Linked DNA regions of Alligator mississippiensis. The protein of the gene in region 1 interacts with the protein of each later gene in a biochemical or structural test. Links are inferred from orthologs where the notes say so. Each region holds a gene or a part of one and is shown on either strand. Other genes may lie near its edges. The genes, in order: MPDZ, HTR2A and CYSLTR2.

Evidence for each region.
Region 2: the proteins of MPDZ (region 1) and HTR2A form a complex in vitro, tested with the Homo sapiens proteins (2 studies listed by IntAct, with this or other methods). The link is inferred for Alligator mississippiensis from reciprocal best matches to the Homo sapiens genes MPDZ and HTR2A.
Region 3: the proteins of MPDZ (region 1) and CYSLTR2 interact in a test that uses a peptide from one of them, tested with the Homo sapiens proteins (2 studies listed by IntAct, with this or other methods). The link is inferred for Alligator mississippiensis from reciprocal best matches to the Homo sapiens genes MPDZ and CYSLTR2.

What each region holds. Positions count from the first base shown.
Region 1 is NC_081826.1:183,139,807-183,147,718, reverse strand, and holds the start of MPDZ (multiple PDZ domain protein), read right to left. Parts: upstream 3,079-7,912; 5' UTR 2,921-3,078; intron 1-2,920. UniProt on the Homo sapiens protein: Member of the NMDAR signaling complex that may play a role in control of AMPAR potentiation and synaptic plasticity in excitatory synapses. Promotes clustering of HT2RC at the cell surface.
Region 2 is NC_081824.1:412,486,488-412,493,545, forward strand, and holds the start of HTR2A (5-hydroxytryptamine receptor 2A), read right to left. Parts: upstream 3,099-7,058; 5' UTR 2,716-3,098; exon of another isoform or gene 2,373-2,715; 5' UTR 2,060-2,372; coding exon 1,603-2,059; intron 1-1,602. UniProt on the Homo sapiens protein: G-protein coupled receptor for 5-hydroxytryptamine (serotonin).
Region 3 is NC_081824.1:413,727,557-413,735,515, reverse strand, and holds the start of CYSLTR2 (cysteinyl leukotriene receptor 2), read right to left. Parts: upstream 3,039-7,959; 5' UTR 2,897-3,038; intron 69-2,896; 5' UTR 1-68. UniProt on the Homo sapiens protein: Receptor for cysteinyl leukotrienes. The response is mediated via a G-protein that activates a phosphatidylinositol-calcium second messenger system.

The DNA.
Region 1 (7,912 bases):
ATTTCAAAAGTATGTGGTGCCAAAAGGAAAATAAAGGTTACCCATTAGCATTAAAGCAATACTGTTCTTGTTTCCCAGTCTTGATACTGATCTAATTGTTCTAGTGCAGATTTTCTTCCAGGAATAGAAGAACATATCTAGGTCCTGATGGAACATTTGCTGATAGTAGGCTGGAATTCATAAGAGGACATTCATAAAGGTCAGTGACATAAATAGCTCCATAAAAATGTTTCTCCATTAGTGAGATAAGGAAAATACTTCAAAGAAACACCAAAATAGTGAATCAGCTAGGAAAGAAAAAAAAAGCCATGAAGGCCACAGTAGGCAGCTAGAAAACATTCATGCCCATTGGTTCTAAGTAAAATTGAAATGCTGAAGAAAAGAAATTGCTCCCCAAACAGCTTTCTAGGCCATTTATAATTTATCTGGTATGGGCTAAATAAATGAGCATGTTCATTTTAAAATAATGATCTCAGACTGCTATTCTCTAGTACACTCCCATCTGATATGACAGCTCTCTCAATTATTTAATATCATCTTGTCCTAACAGTTGAAAAATATAATTTATATTTACACATAATCATTTTATAAGGTAATTTGCACCTCAATAAACTAAATATTCAGTTGTCTTTATTTTGTCAATATAATCATACAAGATTTTGCTCCCTTGAGTGACTGGCTAATAGTTTTCTGTATAAATTACTGAAATTTCCTAATCTGCCAATTAGGAGTAATTTGGGGCAAATCCTGTGTGTGAAATTGAGCCACACAATAACAAATACATTAATGATAGGTAATGAAAGTTCCTTATAATTTTTTTTAGCTATATTAAATACTCAATTCTGGGTTTATTTTCCTGTGTTATATCCATACCCATCCTTACTTTTTCTAATCCAAATCAAACAAGGTTTTAAAGAAACAATTCACATTTCGCATTTTTCACTTTTAGTTTTGATATTCTTTACTCCCAATGTGTCACCCATATGAAAGCAAGTGATACAATAATACTACTGTGGGCCTAGCTCTGTTCAGACATTGAATTGCTGATTGCAAAGGGAGCAGGACTGGATTCTTATGATTCCTGACTATGCTTAAGCAAAACTCCTATGTAAGAGTTTGCTTTTGTCTCTCTTTCATACTCCTCTCCATTTTGTTGAGATTTCTTGTAAAATAACATTTTCTTTTCAAAAGATTGTAGTAACCTAGTTACCTGCTGGTGATGATAGATAAAAATACAAAAGATGGATGAGATACTGTTTTTAAAACTAAAGGGGGAAAAAAGGCAAAAGACTGACCAACAAAATAATACATCCATATGGTTAAATGTAAACAATAGAGACCAAAATGTCACCTTTGTCTCCGAAGTTCCTATAATGTACTGCTATATGGTCATCTCCATTTACGAATGTCTTGCATGTGAAAACTTGTCTAACTCCATCCCAACTAGGTCCAGTAAAAGACATCACCCTAAGAAATACCTGCCTCTCAAATAATTCCTTGGACTATCATGGCTACATCATTCTAACCCTACCAAGTGTTTACAAGTGCACAGAAATAGACCTGAAGTGAGATCAAAAAATAAAATATCCCAGGTCATATTCTCTACTTCAGACACCTGCACCCAACTCCCTCTGGGCCAACCTTCCTCTCCAAAGGCATAATTTTGGCCTTGCTCATACTTCTCTGTATTCTCTGGAATCCGCTATGAAGCTATGTCTAAAGACTGTGTGTTGATTAAAAGGAGTTCATGCTTGCTGAGATAAGATCTGCAGAAAAACCTGGGGAAACTGCAAATGCAATGTCACCGGGACCTTCCAATCCCGCTTAGGAAAAAAAAAGTGGTTTCACATAAAACAGAAAAGGATGCAGCCAGTAGCTGCCACATCGCTGAACCCTGAAGTTTTCTGGACCCCCTTATAAACACTTTATACATGCCTGTGGCAAAAATGCTACGGGTTTGGGGCTGTTATTTGAAAGCCAAGGATGATAACTGGGGAAGGAGTTGGGTATGTTCAAAAAGCAAAGAGAGAGAGGGAGAGATGGTAATTTTCAGAAGGCAAAGAAGAGTGTGTCCCCCTCCTTGCTCTCTTCAGCAATGGTCGGGGCCGGTGTGTGTTCTCCCTTCAGCCATGATTGGGGGGCGAGGTGAACTGAGTATTTTCAGAAGGGAAAGAAGAGTGTGTCCCTACATCGGGGGGGGGGGTTGGGGTGTGCACGCTCCCTTCAGCCATGGGGGGGTGGAGGAAAAGAGAGCTGGGTATTTTCAGAAGGCCGACTGTGTCCCTCCATCATCCCTTCAACCATGATGTGGGGGCGGTGTGCTGTGTCCTTCCTTCAGCCATGCTCGGGTGGGGCGCCCCTCTTCATGCCCGTTTCGGACCGCAGCCCGGCCCAGCCCGCGGGGAGCCGGCCCCTCCCCGGGCTCAGCCGCCGGAGCCGGACGAAGAAGAGGAGGATGCGGCTGCTCCTCCTCAGCCGCATCCTTCGCTCCTGCCCGGCCTGGCACCCCAGTCTCCGCGCGTGCAACACGTCCCTCGGCCCCTACCCCGCCCGGGGCACTTGAATGCCTACCCACCCGGCCCCGCTTGCAAAAATACGCGTCCAGAGAGCGAGGCAAGGCCCAGCCCCCCACGGCCGACGGGGGGGGCGCCAAGACCCGCCGGCAAGGGACAGGGAGATGGGGGCGATGCCGGCAGTAGCGCGGGTGTTTCCCGGCTGCAGCCCCCTCCCCCAGTAAACAAGGCTGCGCAGCTCCTTTCCCGCGGCCCGGGGGTGCACCCAACTCCGCACGCAACAGGCTGCCCACCCCCGCTCCGGCCGCAATACAAACAACTGGGGGAAGGGCGCCTACTATTGCATTCCATTATCCCCTCTGTAGAAGCCCCCGCGCTGCAACGAGCGCCCCGCGCGCCCCGCTTACCCCGCTCGCCGCTGCAGCGGCCTCAGGGAGGGTCGGAGCTTGCAGGGGTGGGGGGTGGCTTGTAGACCTCGCTTCCTGGCTTGGCTGCCCACCCCCCTTCCCTTCTCTAACGGAGCTGCAGGATAAGCGCCCGCACATACGCAGGCAGGCTACCATGAAACTTAATCCTGCCCAGCCATGGAGCGGCTAGACGCCCAGCCCCCCCCCCGCCCAGTCTTCCTCCCCTTCCCTCCCGAGCCGAGCCGAGCCGAGCCCAGGGAGCTGGCTGGAAGAGGAGGAACCATGACAACAGCAGGCAGCAACAGGAGGGGCCCGCATGCTGCCCTAGGAAGAAGCTTGCAGAGAGCCCTGGGCTGGCCCTTTGCAAACCTTGGGGCATAAACACCCTTCGTCAGGCATAGGGAAGGGTGCTTGTGCCCAAAAGCTTGCAAAGAACAATTGTTTTCCAGCGATTTATTGTAGTTGCCCTAATAAAAGAGATCACATCTACCCAAAGAGCCTGGTTTGCCTGTGTCCTTAAACCAACACAGCTAAAACCAACACCCTAGCTCAGGGAAGGGGCGTGGGTGCTGTGCTCCTCTCTGTCTCTTTTGCTCTCTCTCTCCAGGGCAGGAGATGGAGCTGGATAAGACTCAGCACCCCACATCTTCTTTGAAACTGCCTGCCAAAGACTGCTTCCTCCTCCTGTTTTTCTATACCACCACCGCCCCCTTGGAAAATGCTGAAACTAAAGGCTGGGAAGCACTGCAGTGACACACACAAAACTGCCTCCAGCTGCACAAACAAGCAATGTAGGGGCAAAAAACCCAGTGAAGAGTTTTGTGATCACTATGGCCAGGTAGTGGTGTGCTACTTTCTCAGAGATCTGTCTGAAAGGACCTGCCATCTAATGAAGGCTTTATAATTTTCCTTTTTTTTTTTTAAGCAGCTCTTCAGATTTTAGGTACAACATTACTTTCCCCTCTGTCCTGCCTGTGCTAACTGCAATCTAAAGAAGTATTTATATTTTTCCTTTTTTAAAAATACATTTCTTTAGATTTCAGGTACAACAGATGACCCCCCCCCCCCCCCTTTGCCAACTGCAATCGAGTGAAGTATTTTTTTTCTCCATTTTTAAGGCAGTTATTTAGATTTCAGGTACAACACATGACCTCCCCACTCCTTCACCAATTAGTGTGGTTTTCCAATTAGTCTGGTTTTGCAGCCACCATTTAACAAGTACAGGGGTTTAGTGCATGCACACACGCACACACACCCAGGGCCATTATAGCTGTCTAAAGCATGTGCCATCAAATCTATAAAATCTAATTTTGTATTTCTAACATGTATCTGTAAACAAATACGGGGGAAAATCAGACTCATACAACTTTTATTGCATGGTGTCCCTTTAAATATCTCAAATGATGGTGTCCGCTGTTTCCGTTGAAAACTTGTTCCACACCTGATACATTATGCCATTAATAAGTTTATTTGGGTTTCTTTTACAAAATTAAGCCAAGCTACATTAACTGAAGAATGTAAGAATGCCTCTTCCCCCTCTGCCCCCACCCCGCAATTAGTTGTAAACCCAGTGGTCTTTTTATTTTTACTGTTTTCCCTTCTAATAGTAGCTGAATATATATATATATATATATATATATTCCTCAGAAGTAAAATAGAACAGTTAGCAAAGTAATCTGTTAGGGAGGTGGGAAGAAGAAATATTTCTTTTTAAAGTATAATGGAAACATGTATCTTGCTGTTTGGTATGAGAAGTGGGTATTTTATCTAAGGCTTGAAGTTAGAAGATAAAGAGGGGCAAACCTTTGGATATTTTAAACTAAAAACATGTTTATTTTTTAAAAGTTGTGCATGAGGTTAAACATAAGGTGCCTTTTCCTTAATTTGTTTTAAAGTTTTTGTTAGAATTTTAAATAATTTCAGAAACTAAACAATGTATAAAGAATAATTCTCTATGCCCTTTACAAATATACAAACGTCCAAATAATTTTAAAAAATGATAGTGATGACAACAAAATTTATTTTCAATGTAAGAAGGTCCCACTGTTTTGTTGTTTGCTTTTTCCTTGTATATGTTAAAGGCTTTGATTTCTATTTCGTGAACACTTTTCATCTAGCAAATGACACTGGAGTTGGTATCTTATCTCAGTTTCTCACCAGGAAATTGCCCCTTGTTCCATGTTTACTCAAGGCAGCCCAGTTGTGATAGCATCCTCAGTACCAGAAAGAAGTACATCATCCCTGTGTCTGCTAGAGCCTGGTACTTGTTGTTAATTTGCTTGGAGTGTTTTTGTTTTGATTTGATTTATCAAAATTTAACTGAATTATAAACACTACCATAAACATACTGAAAGGTACATAATCATAATATACATACATATGTAGCAGGTTTACCTTTCAGAGCTTGGGTTGAGGCCAAGGCTTGAGATCCTGCTGTTTTGATTGGTGGAGCCCATCCACCCATCAGGAGGAAGCAAGAGAAATAAAGTCACTCCCCTTTCCTGAAGGGAGGGGGAGAAGAGCTTTTCCAGACCTGATTGAACACTGCAAACTGTCAGGTCTGGAAGACTACATGGGTGGAGCTCTGGAGCGTATAAAGGCTACATGCCCAGTGAGGGAGATGTGTCAGGAACAGAGAAGAGTGGGGCTTAGAAGAGCTGAGGAAAGCTGCTCAGCAAGGCGAAGCAGTAGCCCAGAAGTGTAGTAAAAAGACGTTAACCTCCATAATTTTGCAGTAATGCTTGAGCAACAACCATATGATAGAAGTGTCTTATGACCATCTTATGACCCTTTTGTGTAAAGATCAGGAGGTCTAATGTCCAAGCTGTGGTTCTTACTGCTTGCCTTGCATTTTGAAATCATCTCTGTCCAGTGCCTTAAGGTTACGTTAAGATAAGAAGTTACTAAAGTTTAACTAACTTTGTTGAAATTGCTCTTTTCTTCTGAGCATGCTGCAATTCTACCTTTGACTGCGCACGTACTAACCCTGATAAGTCACATTAACCAATAACTAGTTAAGTACAGCCTACAAGATAAGACGTCACAATTAGGAACTGGTACTGCAGCCAATAAACTTCTAGTACATCAAGACTCTGTTGAATGTAAGCTATAAAAATGTGATTCCAGGCCGGACTCATCGTCGGCCCTGATTTGAGCTCTCTGCTCCTCGGTCGAACTGTTTGCAAACAATAAACCTAGATGGACCCAGCCTGTATGTGTGACTCTTTCCTTGAGGGTAATTGAACAAGCCTCCAGGGGAACGAAACTAGCCGTTTTGGCAACAGAAGTGCCCCTGAAGACTTCCATCAGCGGGGAGCAGTGGACGGCTCCAGCGGTTAGGCTCTCAGTATGCAGCACGGCATCCAGACCCTAGGAGCTGCGTGAGATGGCTCGGGTCTGCAACCTCTGGCATGCAGCCAGAGACACAGTGCACAAGCCAGTGCGCGGAGCAGGATCTTTGGAGCCCCTTGGGCAGCTCAGATCCACAACACTCAGCACAAGGCTGGGAGCTCAGTGTAGGAGGCTCTGCACAGAGAGTGAGAGACACCAGGAGCTGCTCAAGGTGGCTCGGGACAGCAATTTGGTGCATAAGACACTGCCCAGAGGGTCTGGGAGTAGACCAAGCCCTGGTGCTGCACAAGGCTGTCTAGGCCTCCAACACCTAGGACAAGGTGAAGCACCCACTACACGCAACCGTGTATGTAGCCCTAAGCCAGGCCGGCAACAGCATGGTCAGGTGGCAGGAAAGCTCAGCGGGAAACAGAGCTCAACCTGGAGAACAGGAGGCAACCCTCCAGGACTGTGGAGTACTAAGTTATCCTGGAGAAAGGGTCCCCACAGAGGAGGGATCCCCAGAATTGTGAAGGGGCACCACATGGGCCGCTCCTGGGGGATAGTGGGGAAGTTTAGGAGTCTATGGGGGTCTCCCTCTCCTTTTCTTTGTCCCCATCTCCTTTCCTATAGTGGTACCTTGGGAGTGGGGCCCCTGCCCTGGTAGTCTAAGGATTGCTGGTTATATTTGTAGACTGTGCCTTATAGTATATGTGAATAAATTGAAGCAATAGTTTGTATATTAATAATAATAATATGTAATATAAGGTTGCCTGATCAGTATCCTTTGTTCTGGATTGTTCTATTGTTCATCTGTATTTTTAAATAATTGGTTGTGTGTATGTCCTTACCCTTTAATGATTTTGTTCAAATAATAAATGTGTATATAGTTAAGTAATTGATTGACTGGGCCTGATTCTATAGGGGATGGAAGTGGCTGATGGGCTGTTGTGTCCCTCCACAGCACACTGCCCTGCCAATAATTCCCTCAACTGGAGAGGGGAGTACAAACCCACGTACACCCAGGCTACACGTACATAACTTCATTTCAGACAGAGTAAAAAATGTGTTTTAGATAAATGGAATGGTACTGCATTCCAAATAATAGACAGCAAACTCAGGCAGCCATGTTACTGAACTCGGGAACCAATAAAATCTGAAAGTTTCTCTGCATTGCATCTCTTATATGAAAAAAAATATTAAAAAACAGTTTTCTATCCAGAGCCTTATTTAACTGCCTGTTGGAGACTTTCTTTTTTACCTTACATAGATGTTTTGACAAGCTAGATATTCTAAAAACTTCTTAAAAGAATTCCAGATGATTAGTTAAGCAGGTCCTTTACTACTTGAATTGACATCCACTAAGCTTGCTCATGTTCCTTTTTAGGTATTCTTCAGCCTTACACTTTAAAAGTGGTCAAGGTGTTCTGCCTAATACCACCTAAATGTTGTAGTCCATCATGTTCTGATTTATCTTCTGAACCCTTTTATCAACTAACATGTTTTCATCTGTCACAGGACTATGATAATAAGGTACTATTATCATTATTATCACTATTGGGCTCCAGTATATTTCTTCACAGTTTTAAGTGTCACAGTTTGCATATGCTTCTTTTATTTGTGCCAGATGTAAACTTAAAAAGCAAAGTACAGCTGATTTGC
Region 2 (7,058 bases), on another chromosome or scaffold:
GGGGTGGGAGGCTGGGATGTATGGACACTAGGTAACTGAGGGGTAGTTCTCAGTTTGGCAGGAGGCTTTTCTGCAAGCTGTTTGCTGGTCATGGTGACAAGTGATCCAGTGCGTCATGCTGATGCTGCATTTCTCGGAAATTGTATGCCTGAATGACTGGTTTTTCAAATGCATTTAGCCTGAGAGGAGATCTTTCCTCTGGCAACAGACATCACAGTGCAAAGTTAAAAAGAGAGAAAAATCATTTGATCACAGAAATACTGCAATTAAAATTAATGGTCACAATCAAACGTGGGTTTCCAAGCAGAGGCAAAAATTAGCTTTCTCAGTGGCAGGGAGTGGCCAGCAGGAGTCCCTGTTGATCACCTCAGTGAATCATTCAGAGCTTGAGTCTTTCACTTATATCTCAGATCAAGCAATTAGTGCCCCTACAGCTTTATTTTGCATTGTCTTCCCTACCATCAAAGGTAATCTTTATTGAACACTTATATGAATCCCTATTTGCTAATGCCATCCAGGATACTTTGTGTAAAAATAGCAAAATTGAAAGAGGGAAATTGGGAAATAAATTCTTATATTGCAGTTTTCCAAATGAAATCTCCCTCAAGTTGTTGTGAAGTGGTTGGTACTTTAAAACTGTAACACTCAATCTAGCATAAAAGCTATTTAAATCTTTCAAATTAGATCCCCCCTTCCCCCATTTCTTTTTCTTTTCTCTCCTGTATTGTGATACTGGGTATTTTTTTTATAAATTTGAAGATGAAACCAGCATGGAAAATGTCTATATTTAACCCTTAAGTTTTCTGCTTTTCCTCGGTGATCCAGACTGCTAAAGATTTTGGTTCAAATGCCAAGAAATTTGCTCATCACCTGTAAACAGCATCACAGTTAACCATGCTTCTTAGTTCACTTTACACTTTCACATAATAGCTGTTTAGAAAAGGTAGGGAATATTAATTTATTCAATTTCAAATGTTACTAAACACTGGTCATGAATAACTCCTGTCTACATTTTAGGCTCCCTTGAAAATACTTCTTCCAAGATTTAATGGTAAATAATATAAATAAAGATCGTAGTGTAAAGATGGTTATTTGAAACTGAAATTAATTACCAGTAAATTAATTACCAGTAAAAATATGAGGCAGGTTATTTTAACTCTAAGTGCACCAAGGCATTGATTTGCCTGTGCATATTTGTGGAGCAAAAGTATTAACAGGATATTACTTACTTATTAGGAAAACTGAAAAGTATATGTATATGAGACAAAAGTATATGAGGCAAAACTGAGAATACTGAGAACACAGCATTTTCATAGAAAACAAGATAATCCCCTCAGAATCAAAGTGGTAATTTGATTTTTGGACTGTATTTAAAACATCTATAATTGGAAGTTAAAAGGAAATGAGCTCATAGGTACTGATTCTTCTCTTTACTATATTTAACAATTATAGCATTATAGGGAGGGAGATAGCAAGCTTATATCTTAAAAGCTAGATTGCATTTATATTTTACTTGAATCCTCAAACTGTAACAATAATAACATGTGTTTGCTGTTATTAGGCTACCCAATATATGCAGTAGGTTACACAGGTGATACTCACCGTACAGTATGGTTAACATTGACACAGGCATGACAAGGAAACCCAACAGCATATCAGCTATTGCGAGTGACATTAGAAAATAATTAGTGGCATTCTGTAGCTTTTTCTCCAGTGACACAGCCATGATGACAAGAATATTCCCAGCAATGGTTAGAACAATCACAATAACTGTCAACAAAGCTGGCCAATTTTTCTCTGGAAGCTGAATCCATGATGAAAAGCAGGGTGGGCTCGGACTGCCTTCACACGAAAGATTAGTTAGGTTTTCAGAGTCCACAGTTAAGTTAAACAGATGAGATGTGTTAACCTCTCCAGATACAAAAACATTTTTGTAAAGTCTTCTCTCATGATTTAATTGTATTAAGGAGTTTGTAGTTGGGTTCACAGAACTCTCCTCATCACAAAGAATATCCATTGCTGAAACTGGTGAGTATGTATAGTAAAAAGCTGAAAGCATAAATTTTTGTCACCATCAGGCTTTATATTCCTTTGTTGTCCAAAGCTGAAGCTGGTGTAAAGGAAGGATTATTTTTTGATAATTACTTTTTCTTTATTATCCGGATGGAATTATTCTGAACGCTGAAATACTTTCTTTTCGGCTCCCTGTGAAGTCCCTTATTAGCATATGTTAAAAATCCAGTTGAAAAACAAAATCAATATGGAGAATAGAAAATGTGGACTTGAGGTTTTGGAGAGCAAAAACAATGGGCAAAAAACTTTTGCAACCATCAGGACTCTCTTCTGTAGCTACATCTTATTGCTCTTCATAACTGTAATCACACAATTTTAAATGCAGCAGTATTAAAATAGCTTGCTATACAAAACAGCAGAGCTCTGTTCCACAATGAGAAAGTTGATTAAAGATTCCACCCAGCATCTAACTCTTACAATAATAAGATATGCTCTTATTTATAGTTCATCTTCCATATTACTGGCTGATAGTCTCTGACTTCTGTCATATTTCAATATCATTCTGAGTCTCACACCAGTGATTACAAGTAATATTCCACATTGATTTTAATATCTAATAGTATCTTTTGGCTCAGCATGGCTTCAAAATAGAAATAAAATGACTAAATGCTACAATTAAAAATATAGTATAGGAAGACTTACATTGCTGAGAGCCCACATTCAAAGTTCCTTAGATCCACCTTGTACTCTGATTTGCCATATCCTTCTCTGAGTCCCTTCTCTCTAGTGGCCACAAAAACACTAGTATTTTGATTACAGTTACGTTGACTTCTAAACTGTACACTTGAGAGAAGCCAGTTCCTGTGTAGCCAGTCTTGTTCTTTTCTTCTGAGAGAGAGGCTGCTTGCTGTATCTTTCCTTGTGCATTTTCCCCCCCAAGGGCAAGCTACATGGAGAGTAATAACAATATCAGACCCCCCCTCAAAGTGATACAAAAGAAAGCACACGAACTAGAAGGAGCAGTCTCCAGAAAGAGATTACTGATTTCAACAGGAATGTAATTTCTTGCTCACTGCCTTGTTCAGTTTGTCAGACCTCCCACTATCTAGATGTCATAAACTGCAAGGTAGCAACAGCAAAGGAGGACAGACCAAATAGGGTCTTTTTTTGGTAACTGCCAGTTTTTTCATTTGATCATTTTTGAGGTCTTAGTTTTGTTTAAGAAAATGCACATTTTCCCTTTGCAAAGGATGCCCTTCAAGCCAGCTGTGTACAATTATAATATCTTGTGGGGTGAATGTTTGAGGAAGACAATAAATAAAGATAGTAATGGTACATGCTGGTAAAACTGTAAATGTGCAGCTTTTTCCATCCTAAAGGTTGCAGCTTTTATGCTAACCCTAAACTGAATTACTCATGTTCAGTCCTCCCTTATCTGATTCCTGGGTGTGTGCTGATGACCTAACCAAACTGCCAACAGATATTTATAAAAAATAAAAAGTAATCATAATTTAATTATTTGTCAGGAAGTGGAAGGTACAAATAAACCCTGATAACCTATTTGGAAGAAAAGTGCCCCAAATGAAGTAGGCAGACAAGGTTTCTTGGGTGAATTTGATATCTTTTATTAGACCAACCCAAATAGTTGGAGAATAGTTATTAAGCAAGCTTTCGGGTTCAAAAACCCTTCGTCAGGCTAAGGAAGTTTCAGCAGTTGGTGTGTGCTCTTCCTGGATGGAATGAAAAGTAAAGAAGCCAGAGGCTGGGCTGGGGAGTCAGTTGCCAGGCTGATTATAATGTGTCAAAAATCCAATGTCTATATTTAGTCCACGATCTCTAGTATCCAGGAGGTTGATGAAATGGAGTTCACAGACCACCTTCCCAGCAACACACTCGTAGCCACCATGGACGTTACCATCCTATATACCAACATCCCACACCAGGATGGCATCCAAGCCTGCCTTACATATCTACAGGAACAAGATTACAACACAGATTACAGACCCAAAGATATTACTGACCTTATACACTTCATCCTCACACACAACAATTTCACTTTTAATAACCAACACTTCCTCCAGATGATGGGAACAGCTATAGGCACTAAAATGGCCCCACAGTATGCAAACCTTTTTATGAGCCACCTGGAAGAAGACTTCCTCAAGAACTACACCATCAAACCCTTGCTATACTTAAGATATATCAATGACATCTTCATCATTTGAACTGAAAACCTACAATCTCTGATTGAGTTCCATCAGAAATTCAACAATCACCATCCCTCCATCCGACTTTCTCTAGAATACTCCAGCACCAGCATCTCCTTTTTAGACACGATGATCAATATCCAGAATGATAAAATACAAACCACATTATACAAGAAACCCACAGACCAACATACATATCTGCACAGAACCAGCAATCACCCTAAACGCACCAAAAAAGCTGTGATATACAGCCAAGCCCTCAGATACCACCGCATTTGTACTGAAGAGAACACCTGGGATTGCCACCTCACCAATCTTAAAAAGGCTTTCACCCAACAAGGACACTCCTCCAGAGAGGTAGATCGCATGTTTGAAACAGCCACCTAGATACCACATGAAGAACTGCTGCAGTACAGAAGAAAAACACCCACAAATTGCACACCGCTGGTTATGACATATCACCCCTCCCTTGAACCTGCACGAAAAATCCTCAAACAACTGCAACCCATACTAGAAAGAGACCCTATTCTTAAAAAGATCTTCCCAGAGCCACCCATCCTAGCCTTCAAACAAGCACCGAACCTCACCAACCTCATCACCAGAAGCAAACTTCCTTAAGCCCAGAACACACCAAAAGGATCCAGACCGTGCCATGACAAGAAATGCAAAACCTGCCAACACATCTCCACCACCCCCACTATTACTACACCCCACAACAGAGCCAGCAGCATTCCTGGATCTTACAGCTGCACCTCCAGAAATGTAATATACCTCATCCAATGCACCAAATGCCCTGATGGAAAATACGTAGGAGAGACCAAACAACAACTGCACGCCAGAATGAACGCACACCGGAAATCTATCAAAGACAGAAATACCCAATTACCGGTGGGGGCACATTTCTCACAGGAGGGCCACTATCTCTCCAGTCTCTCAGTCCTGATCCTCAAGGGAAACTTACACAACACTCCCCAGAGACGAGCCTATGAGCTCCATTTCATCAACCTCCTGGATACTAGAGATCATGGACTAAATATAGACATTGGATTTTTGACACATTATAATCTGCCTGGCAACTGACTCCCCAGCCCAGCCTCTGGCTTCTTTACTTTTCATTCTATCCAGGAAGAGCACACACCAACTGCTGAAACTTCCTTAGCCTGACGAAGGGTTTTTGAACCTGAAAGCTTGCTTAATAACTATTCTCTAACCATTTGGGTTGGTCTAATAAAAGATATCAAATTCACCCAAGGAACCATGTCTGCCTATGTCCTTAGACCAACACAGCTACAACCTACACCACTGCCAAATGAAGTAGTACAGTCATGTAAAGTGTTCTGGGATAAATAGTGGAATTAAACCCCCTTCCGTGATTTTTCCTATTCCTTTGTAATATCTGTGCCATGACACTTATGGGAGACTAGTTGACTATTCTTTTCCACATTGTAGTAGGGTTGGAGTGTTGTTGTACAACCCTGTGTTGGAAATCTTGTCCAACATCCTTCCCAGCTATACGCTTGGTCCCGTAAAAGATATCACAAAAAACCCTTGCCTCTAGTACATTTCCTAAACCATCACAGGTACAACAATACAGAATGAATAATTACAGAAAAAAGGAAAACACTTTTCATGGAACAACCACTCTGTTTCTGACCTCACAGTCCTTTTAGTCAAGGGAAATCTGAAAAACACCTTCAAAAGACAGACGTGGGAGCCAACATTTATAACATTCATAACACTAAAAATCATAGATTAAGCCCAAAAAATGTCTTTCTGACTCACTACACTCTACCTGCTATCTCTGCTAAAATCTCTGCACTCCACAGGTAATAATAACCCTTTTCTCTTCTGAATAGTCCTGTTCTACGTAAGTTGGCGTTCGTTTGAACTATATTCCCCTTGTTTTGAAGCTATTTCTGATAGCCTCTCTCTGTTCCTACTTTTCAGTCATCTTCCATTCCTTTAAGTGACTGTTTTAATTCACAAAACACAACCCCCAACCCCAGCCCACACTGGTGGATAGCATACTTTCCTGGGAGTTGTGGCTTTGAACTCCTGGGACACATCCAGATGAGTGCCCACGTCCAGTTTGCAGCACCTCAAAAGTAGTTTGAGGCACCACAAACTACATGCAGTGCACATGCACCCATTCGCTACACTGCTAATTTGTAGCGTGGCTGTTTTTTTGATACCAGGAGATCCCTGAGGCTAAGAAGGGCCTAAACAGTAGGTCCTCCATTTTCTGAGCAACTGTTTTAGCTAGTAGTTGTTGATAGACATGGACACTGGCATCACTCCCTCCTCAAGCCGTGCATAAGAGTGGCAAGGCCTATTGTGCTCTTTGCTGAACTTAACCCTGCCAACATGCATTAGGTGTGTTCTGAGTGCACCTACTGGATCAGTACCTTGAGGAGACTTAGGACCAGAAATGGCTAGTTAATAAATCCCAAATGGATATAGGTATGAGACAGTGGCTGAGATACTCATCTTTGTCAAGGTGGCATCATTTAATGCAAGTAGCACAAATGTAGGTGCCTACTTAAGTTTACCAGTAAAAACATAGCTGCCTTTGCCCTTTCAGGCCACATCCAAATGAGCGTGGTTGTTTGTTTCCCCAGGGACAAGTAGCAGCAACACACCTTGTGAGCAAAAAATTACATTCCTGCTGGATTTAATAATCTCTTTCTAGAGACTGCTCCTTCTAGTTTGCGTGCTTTCTTTTGTATCACTTTGATTCTGATATTATTATTACTCACCATGTAGCTAGCCCTTCGGGGGGGATGCACGACGAAAGATACATTTTGTGCCACTGCTACTTGTCCCTGGGGAATGCCCATG
Region 3 (7,959 bases), on another chromosome or scaffold:
CAACATGGTCCAAGGTGTTGTAAGAGAAATAATTTATTGTATTTTGCTAGGGTCAGAAGTCCTGGACTCTAAAAAAAAAAAAAAAAAGAATTAAAATCAGAGTTCTGCAACCTGTTATAAAGTTTGTGTCATGTATCTTTAAAAATATGAGTGAATTAAGCCTGTGTGGTAAGCATAAAAGCTAAGGGAACTGAGGTACAGTGAGGCTAGTACCTTGCTGAAAACCACCCAGCAAGATACTGAGAGCTGCGTATCACCAATAAGATCACAACAGAAAGGAGTAATAGGGAGATTCAAATATTGCCATGGAGAAATGTACCTTTTAACATTTTTAAAAGGGAAAGGGAAGTTGCTGCTTGGGAGTACACATTAGCTGTTGCGATCTAACTCAGAGGTGAAGCAAGGCAACTATGCGGCATGTGGGGTAGCATCAGGCTGCGCTGCCAGCACTGATAGCAGGGTGTGGACAGCCATCAGCTGATGCCCTGGTCACAACCCCTCAATTACATTACCAATCCAACAGTTTGGTAACCTTACATTACCAATCTACATGGTCCTATAATGATACAAGTTACCTAAATCTCTATAACTTTAACCCTGAATGACATGTATCACTACAGAATGATGCAGGCATAACAGCAACAGCAGTTTATATCAGTAGCATTTGATATCAGTAAAATTGTTATATCTGTCTATAGCTGAAGTGAAGATTCATCATAGAACCAACTGGGGAGGGGATACACACCAGGCCTACAGCACAATAGCTAATGCACTTCAGATTAGGTGATTTAGCTGAGACCAGCCACAAAATCTTCCTTGAATTATTGATCCCTCAAGAGTTCTCACAGGTGTTACGTTTATGGTGCATCCAGACAGCCATGGGTCCTGGGGCTATCCCCAGCTGATCCTTAGGAATCAGGTTGGGGCAGCTCCTGGTCCTAAACTAGAACCTGGGACTGCCTGTGCCTGCTTCTGACATTCAGCTGAGGATCAGGCAAGATCAGCCTGGGGGCAACCAGACTTAGATGAATTAAAATGTCTATAAAAAGTTATAGACACTTTGGAAAATTAATAATATGGGTCCTGATTCTGCTCCCTGTCACATCAGAGAGTGGTGGTGGATGGGTTGTTCTCGGCCTGGAAGGAGGTGGGCGGAGGGGTCCCACAGGGTTCGGTCCTTGGACCAGTGTTATTTAATATCTTCCCCAGCGATTTGGACGAGGTTGTGGAGAGTACCCTCTCCAAGTTCACAGATGATACCAAGTTATGGGGCAAAGTTAACACACCGGAGGGCAGGGAGCAGATACCGGCTGGCCTGGACAGATTGGATCAATGGGTGGAATGAAATAGGATGCAGTTCAACAAAGATAAATGTAAGATACTCTACCTAGGAAGGAGGAATCCCCAGCACACCTACAGGTTGGGGGATGACCTCCTCAGCAGCTCAGAGGCTGAGAGGGATCTTGGAGTCATAACTGACTCCAAGATGAACATGAGCTGGCAGTGTAACGAGGCCATCAACAAACTAGCGGAGAGTAGATTTAGGTTAGACGTTAGGAAGAATTTTTTTACAGTAAGGATGGCCAGAATCTGGAACGGGCTTCCAAGAGAGGTGGTACTATCACCTAACTTGGAGGTCTTCAACAGGAGGCTTGACAGTCACCTGGCTGGGGTCATCTGACCTCAGTCTTCTTTCCTGCCAGGGGCAAGGGGTTGGACACGATGATCCATTGTGGTCCCTTCTGACTCTATAATCTATGAATCAGACCCACACCAGTATAACATACTCTTTTATTTGTAACTTACATATGCCAGTGAAATGAGACCAGAATCTAACCTGGAACCATTAAATAATATTGAAAATTGCATGGCCAATCCCACTAAATACACACAAATCAGCCACAAAACAAAGATTACCTAGCAATCTATAACCTCAAGTCCTCAGTTAAGTAAAGAACTAGATCTTAAAGCAACCATCTACTAAAACAAGGTTAAGATTCCTTAGCCTGACAATGTAAAATATATTTCTGTTATATTTTAAGAGAAATAGATTATGACACAGCAGTATTTATATTGGATATGAAAAAAGCAAATTCTCTAGTCTGATTTTAAGAAATGCAGAACATTCACAATCCCAGCTACATTAAATGTACCTGCAAGTGCACAGAAATTCTGAAACACTGAACTCTCTATACCAATGAGGACTTGTCATAATACATCTTTTTAAATGATTTTCTTGATACAAAATACCTTCTCTGCTGTTTAAACCATATATTTTTCTCCAAACAGTTTTCTATGGGATTTCAAGTTTGCCATTAGACTAGCAATGTGTTATTATCTATGTTATATTACAGGCATCAGCTACTGCCCTTTCAGAAAGCCAGATGTACGGACATTGGACAAAAAATGAAGCTCTGATTCACTTTGTCCTGTGAATGTTATATTTCAGTTCAGGATGAGAATTGCCAAACAGTTACTTTCCTTTATTGTTGGTTTGGAATTAGCATTGATTTAAGCTGAACTGTGCAGAGACAGGACATTTTATTCACCCTCACGCACACCTTTTAATGAATTGGTAATTTTGTAAACAAAGATTCCAGTTGATACAATCCGTACTTTGCGCCTAGCAAGAAAATTAAATTCATTCACTCAGATTTTTGGTAAACTACCATTAGTTTATTATCTTTCATGTTTCAAAATATTTGTAATTATAGAAAACCACCTTGATGTCCTTTCTTAAGGAGAAAAGAACCTTATTTAATAAACACCTAATATTTCCAGCAGCTAGAAGACCTCTCGTAAGTAACAGGGGGGAAAGTAGGAGGGGCCTTAGTTACTGTTAATAATCTTTATCAACTTAAATACTGAACTAAAAAAAATTACAAACTTGTCCTACCTTAGTATGTGTAGCTTTCAGTTAATTCAGTACATTAGTTCCTTCTTCAGCTTTTGCTGTTCAAAACTGCCAGCCTGCTAGTGGAGGGGGGAAAAGAACCTACATCTATTTATATCACAACCACAGCCAATGAAAAGTAAAAGGAAGTCAGTATTTGTTAGCAGAAGTTTTATTTCTTCAGAAAGATATTTTCTTAGGTCAAGAAAAGGCATTTGCTCCCATACTACATATATCTCTTGTTCAAAAAAATATCAAAAAAGGCTCTGCAGCCACGTAATATATCTAGAAACTTTTTCTCAACTACTCTCATTTCTATCTATAGACTTCAATAATCAAACCAGTAAATTGTTGGAGTACCATAAAATAATTAAAAAATACTTTCCCTGGGAAAATATTCTATTTTCCCAGTGGGGTGCTGGGAAGAGATGGCCTCCACCTCAATCCACTGGGGAGGAGGCTCTTCTTAGCGAGACTGGCTGACCAACTCGACCGGGCTTTAAACTGAGCCCACCAGGGAAGGGGGGGATTACCACCACTGCAAGCCCACTGGGCAGTTTCTGTAAACCCAGCAGGCTAAGGCACTCAAGGGAACCCACCCCTACGGCAGCCCCAGAGCAATCTGTAGGAAAGGCAAGGACCCCCAATGGGACACTTATTTGCCTGTACACCAATGCCAGGAGCCTGGGGAACAAACAGGAGGAACTGGTCCTCCTGCTAAACCAAAAGGATTACAATCTCATAGGGATAACGGAGACCTGGTGGGACTCCACCTATGACTGGGCCACAGGCATAGATAGCTATACCTTGTACAGGAGAGATCATGCGGACAAAAGGGGCGGTGGAGTAGCTCTTTATGTCAAGGAAAGATATGCATCCCTGAAAGCTGACATTAGCACCCAGGAGGGAAGATTGGAGACTCTCTGTGTCAAAATGGGTGGCGAAAAAGGCATAGGGGTCACAATGGTGGGGGTCTACTACAGATCTCTTAGCCAGGATCAAGAGCTTGACCAGGAATTCGCCAGGGAACTAGCTAAGGCTTCACACTCCCAGTGCATGGTTGTCATGGGAGATTTCAAATACCCTGACATCTTGTGGGAAGAGCACTCGGCCAAATCCGAATGGTCACAAAGCTTCCTCATGTGCATGGATGAGCTCTATCTGACTCAAGAAGTCTATGGACTGATGAGAGGCAGAGCTCTGCTCAACCTGGTACTGGCAACAGGGATGACTTAATCAGTGACCTAATGATCGAAGGGAAGCTGGGAGACAGTGATCATGAGTTGATCACCTTCACCATCTGCCTTAAAGCAGGCAAGCCAGTCAGCAAAGCAGAAGTCCTCGACTTCAGGAAAGCTGACTTTGACAAGCTCAGGAGGCTTGCTGGCGTGGCCCTAAGAGACCACGACCCAAAGTGAAGGGGAGTTCAGGAAGAGTGGTTGCTCCTCAAGGGAGCAATCCTGAAAGCACAAGCAATGTCTATCCCATCTAGGGGGAAAGGCAGCAAAAGGGCACAGCAGCCCCCCTGGGTCTGCAGGGAACTAGTGGACCTCCTGAGACTAAAAGGAAAGGCCTATTAAGGATGGAAGGCTGGATCCACCCCAAAGGAGGAGTACTCTGCACTGGTCTGGACCTGCAGGGAGCGAACCAGGAAAGCCAAGGCTGCAACTGAACTCCAACTGGCTACACGTATCAAGGACAATAAAAAGTCATTTTTTAGATATGTGGGGAGCCAGAGGAAAAGCAAAGGTAACATTGCACCCGAGCTAAACCATATTGGTCAACTGACAACTGACACCCAGGAAAAAGCCAACCTGCTCAATGGGTATTTTGTGTTGGTTTTTCACCAGCCCCAAGGGACGGCCTTGCTCAATATGGTATGGGACAGCCAGGGTGAGAGAGAGCTGTTACCCTTCATCAGTGTTGACCATGTGAAGGAACACCTTGAGAGGCTGGACACCTTCAAGTCAGCTGGCCCAGACAGCTTACACCCCAGGGTACGTAAGGAGCTGGCAGGCATCATAGCTCAGCCGCTGGCACGGATCTTTGAGAACTCGTGGTGTTCAGGCAAAGTGCCTGAAGATTAGAAGAAGTCCAATGTGGTGCCTATCTTCAAGAAAGGAAGGAAAGTAGATCCGGGGAACTACAGGTCCATCAGCCTGACCTCCATCCCCGGGAAGATCTTGGAGAAAATCATCAAAGAGAGCATTCTTGACTAACTGGCTGAAGGCAACTTCTTGTGGGATAGCCATCATGGGTTTGTTGCAGATAGGGCTTGCCTGACCAATCTCATCTCCTTCTACGACCAGGTGACATACCACCTGGACAAGGGAGAAGAGATTGACATTATATATCTTGAATTTAAAAAAGCTTTCAATCTGGTATCCTATAATCATCTTAGTAGTAGTTGGCAGAAGTCAATCATTGTGGTGCGCCATGACCAGTGGGGTCCCCCAAGGCTCTATCCTTGGGCCTATCCTTTTCAACATCTTCATTAATGATGTGGACATTGGTGTCGGAAAAGGACAGGATGGTGATCCAGGCTGGCCTTGACAGGCTTGGAAAATGGGTGGATGAAAACCTGATGGCCTTCAACTCTGAAAAATGCAAGGTACTCCACCTTGGGAAGAAAAACCTGCAGCATGCTTATAGGCTTGGCAGTACTATGCTCGCTAGCACCACGGTCGAAAGGGACTTGCGGGTCATGACTGACCACAAGATGAATATGAGCCACCAATGTGATGTTGCAGCCGGCAAAGCGAGCAAAACTCTGGCTTGCATCCATGGATGCTTCTCTAGCAAATCCCAAAATGTCATCCTCCCGCTGTACTCAGCCTTGGTGAGGCTGCAGCTGGAGTACTGTATCCAATTCTGGGCTCCAAAATTTAAAAAGGATGTGGAGAAGCTTGAGAGAGTCCAGAGGAGAGCCACACACATGATCAGAGGGCAGGAAAACAGGCCTTATGATGAGAGGTTGAGAGCCATGGGACTTTTCAGCTTGGAAAAGTGCAGGCTCAGGGGGAACTGGTGGCTGCCTATAAGTATATAAGGGGTGTACATCAGGATCTGGGGGAATGCCTGTTCACCAGAGCACCCCATGGGATGACAAGGTCAAATGGTCACAAACTTCTCCAAGACTGTTTCAGGCTGGACATAAGGAAGAACTTATTTACAGTCCGAGCCCCCAAGGCCTGGAACAGACTGCCACCAGAGATGGTGCAAGCATCTACTCTGGATTCCTTTAAGAGTCAACTGGACATTTATGTTGCTGGGATCCTGTGACCCCAGCTGACTTCCTGCCCCTGGGGTCGGGGACTGGACTTGATGATCTTCTGAGGTCCCTTCCAGCCCTAATGTCTATGAAATCTATGAAATGAAAAGAAAACATTAGGGTACATTTCCAAATCATTTCACCACTAATAGCATGTGGTCAACTTGCTGGAATTAGCAATGTTGGGAAACCAACCACATAGCCAACTGCAGAAGATGCATCAGGCACTTTGGCACCTAACTGCACACTGGTCCTTAGGAAATTAGATGCCCAGTTTCTACCATGTTTTAATTGGAGATAGATATCCATTTCTCTCAGACTCTTTGAAAAATCTCAGTCATAATCAACTAGTTTACCATTTTCTGTTGCCTTGATGGTAGCTCTCAGTTACACAATGGTTCCATAATATTGCTTTTCCAGATAAAAGGGTCTTAGAATGGGCAAAAATAATCTTCTGAGAACACTCCATAGGCTGGTGGCTCCCTGGGCATTGTACAGCTTGTGTCAAAACTGCTCACACACCCCATAAGAGGATGAGTTGAACAGTTGGTTTTGCAAGTCCTGTAACAGGGGCCCCTAACCTCTCTTACTCATTTGAGAAGGGTGGCATTACATAGCTGCAGAGCCACAGGCAGCAGCTCTAGAGGGCTGCAAGCCGCAGGTTGTAAACTGCAGGCCTCAAGAGCTGGGACCTGCAAGCTGCAGGCATCAAAGACAAGCCTAGTAACTACCTAAAAGGAGCCCCTGTCTCATATGTTTGCAGATGGCACCAAGCTAGGGGGAGTAATAGATATGCTGGAAGGTAGGGTTAGGATTCAGAGGGTGTATCTACAATTGTTGCTATGGCAATATTGTGACTGCACTGTGATTTAGTACTTCCAAAAGGAAGTACTAAATCACAGTGCAGTAACAGCTCATACTGAGTCATACGTGTGACGCGCATTTATTTTTAGCAGCTACTTCACTGTTGTGGTGCACTTTAGTGGGGGAGCGTGTTGCTATGCCAAAATAGCTGTTGGTCACATGTAAACACCCACGGATGCTAGGTCATGGTAGCGCATTGCTACAGCAATGTAGTATCACATGTAGACATGTCCAGAAAGACCTAGACAAATTGGAGGATTGGACCTAAAGAAATCTCATGAGGTTCAATAAAGACAAGTGCAAAGTCCTGCAATTGGGATTCAAAAAATCTCATGCACTGGTACAGGCTGGGGGCTGACTGGCTGAGCAGCAGCTCTGCGAAAACGGACCTGGGTTACAGTGGACAATAAACAGAATATGATCCAACAATGTTCCCTTGTTGCCAAGAAGGCTAACAGTATGCTGGGCTACATTAGCAGAAGCGTTGCCAGCAGATCAAGGAAAGTGATTATTCCCTTTCTATTCAGCACTGGTGAGGCCACATTTGGAGTACTGTGTTCAGTTTTGGGCACCCCACTACAAAAAGGATGTGGACAAATTGAAGAGTCCAGCAGAGGGCAATGCAAATGGTGAGGGGGCTGGGGCATGTGACTTCTGAGGACAGGCTGAGGGAACTGGGCTTATTTAGTCTAGAGAAGAGAAGACATGGAAAGGACTTAATACCAGCCTTCAAGTACCTGAAGAGGGGTTCAAAAAAGGGTGGAGCTGGACTGTTTTGAGTGGTGACAGATTACAGAACAAGAAGCAACAGTCTCAAGTTGCAGCAAGCGAAGTTTAGGTTAGATATTAGCAAAAACTTTGTCATTAGGAGGGCAGTAAAACACTGGAACAGGTTACCCAGAGGGATTGTGAAATCTCCATCCTTGGAGGT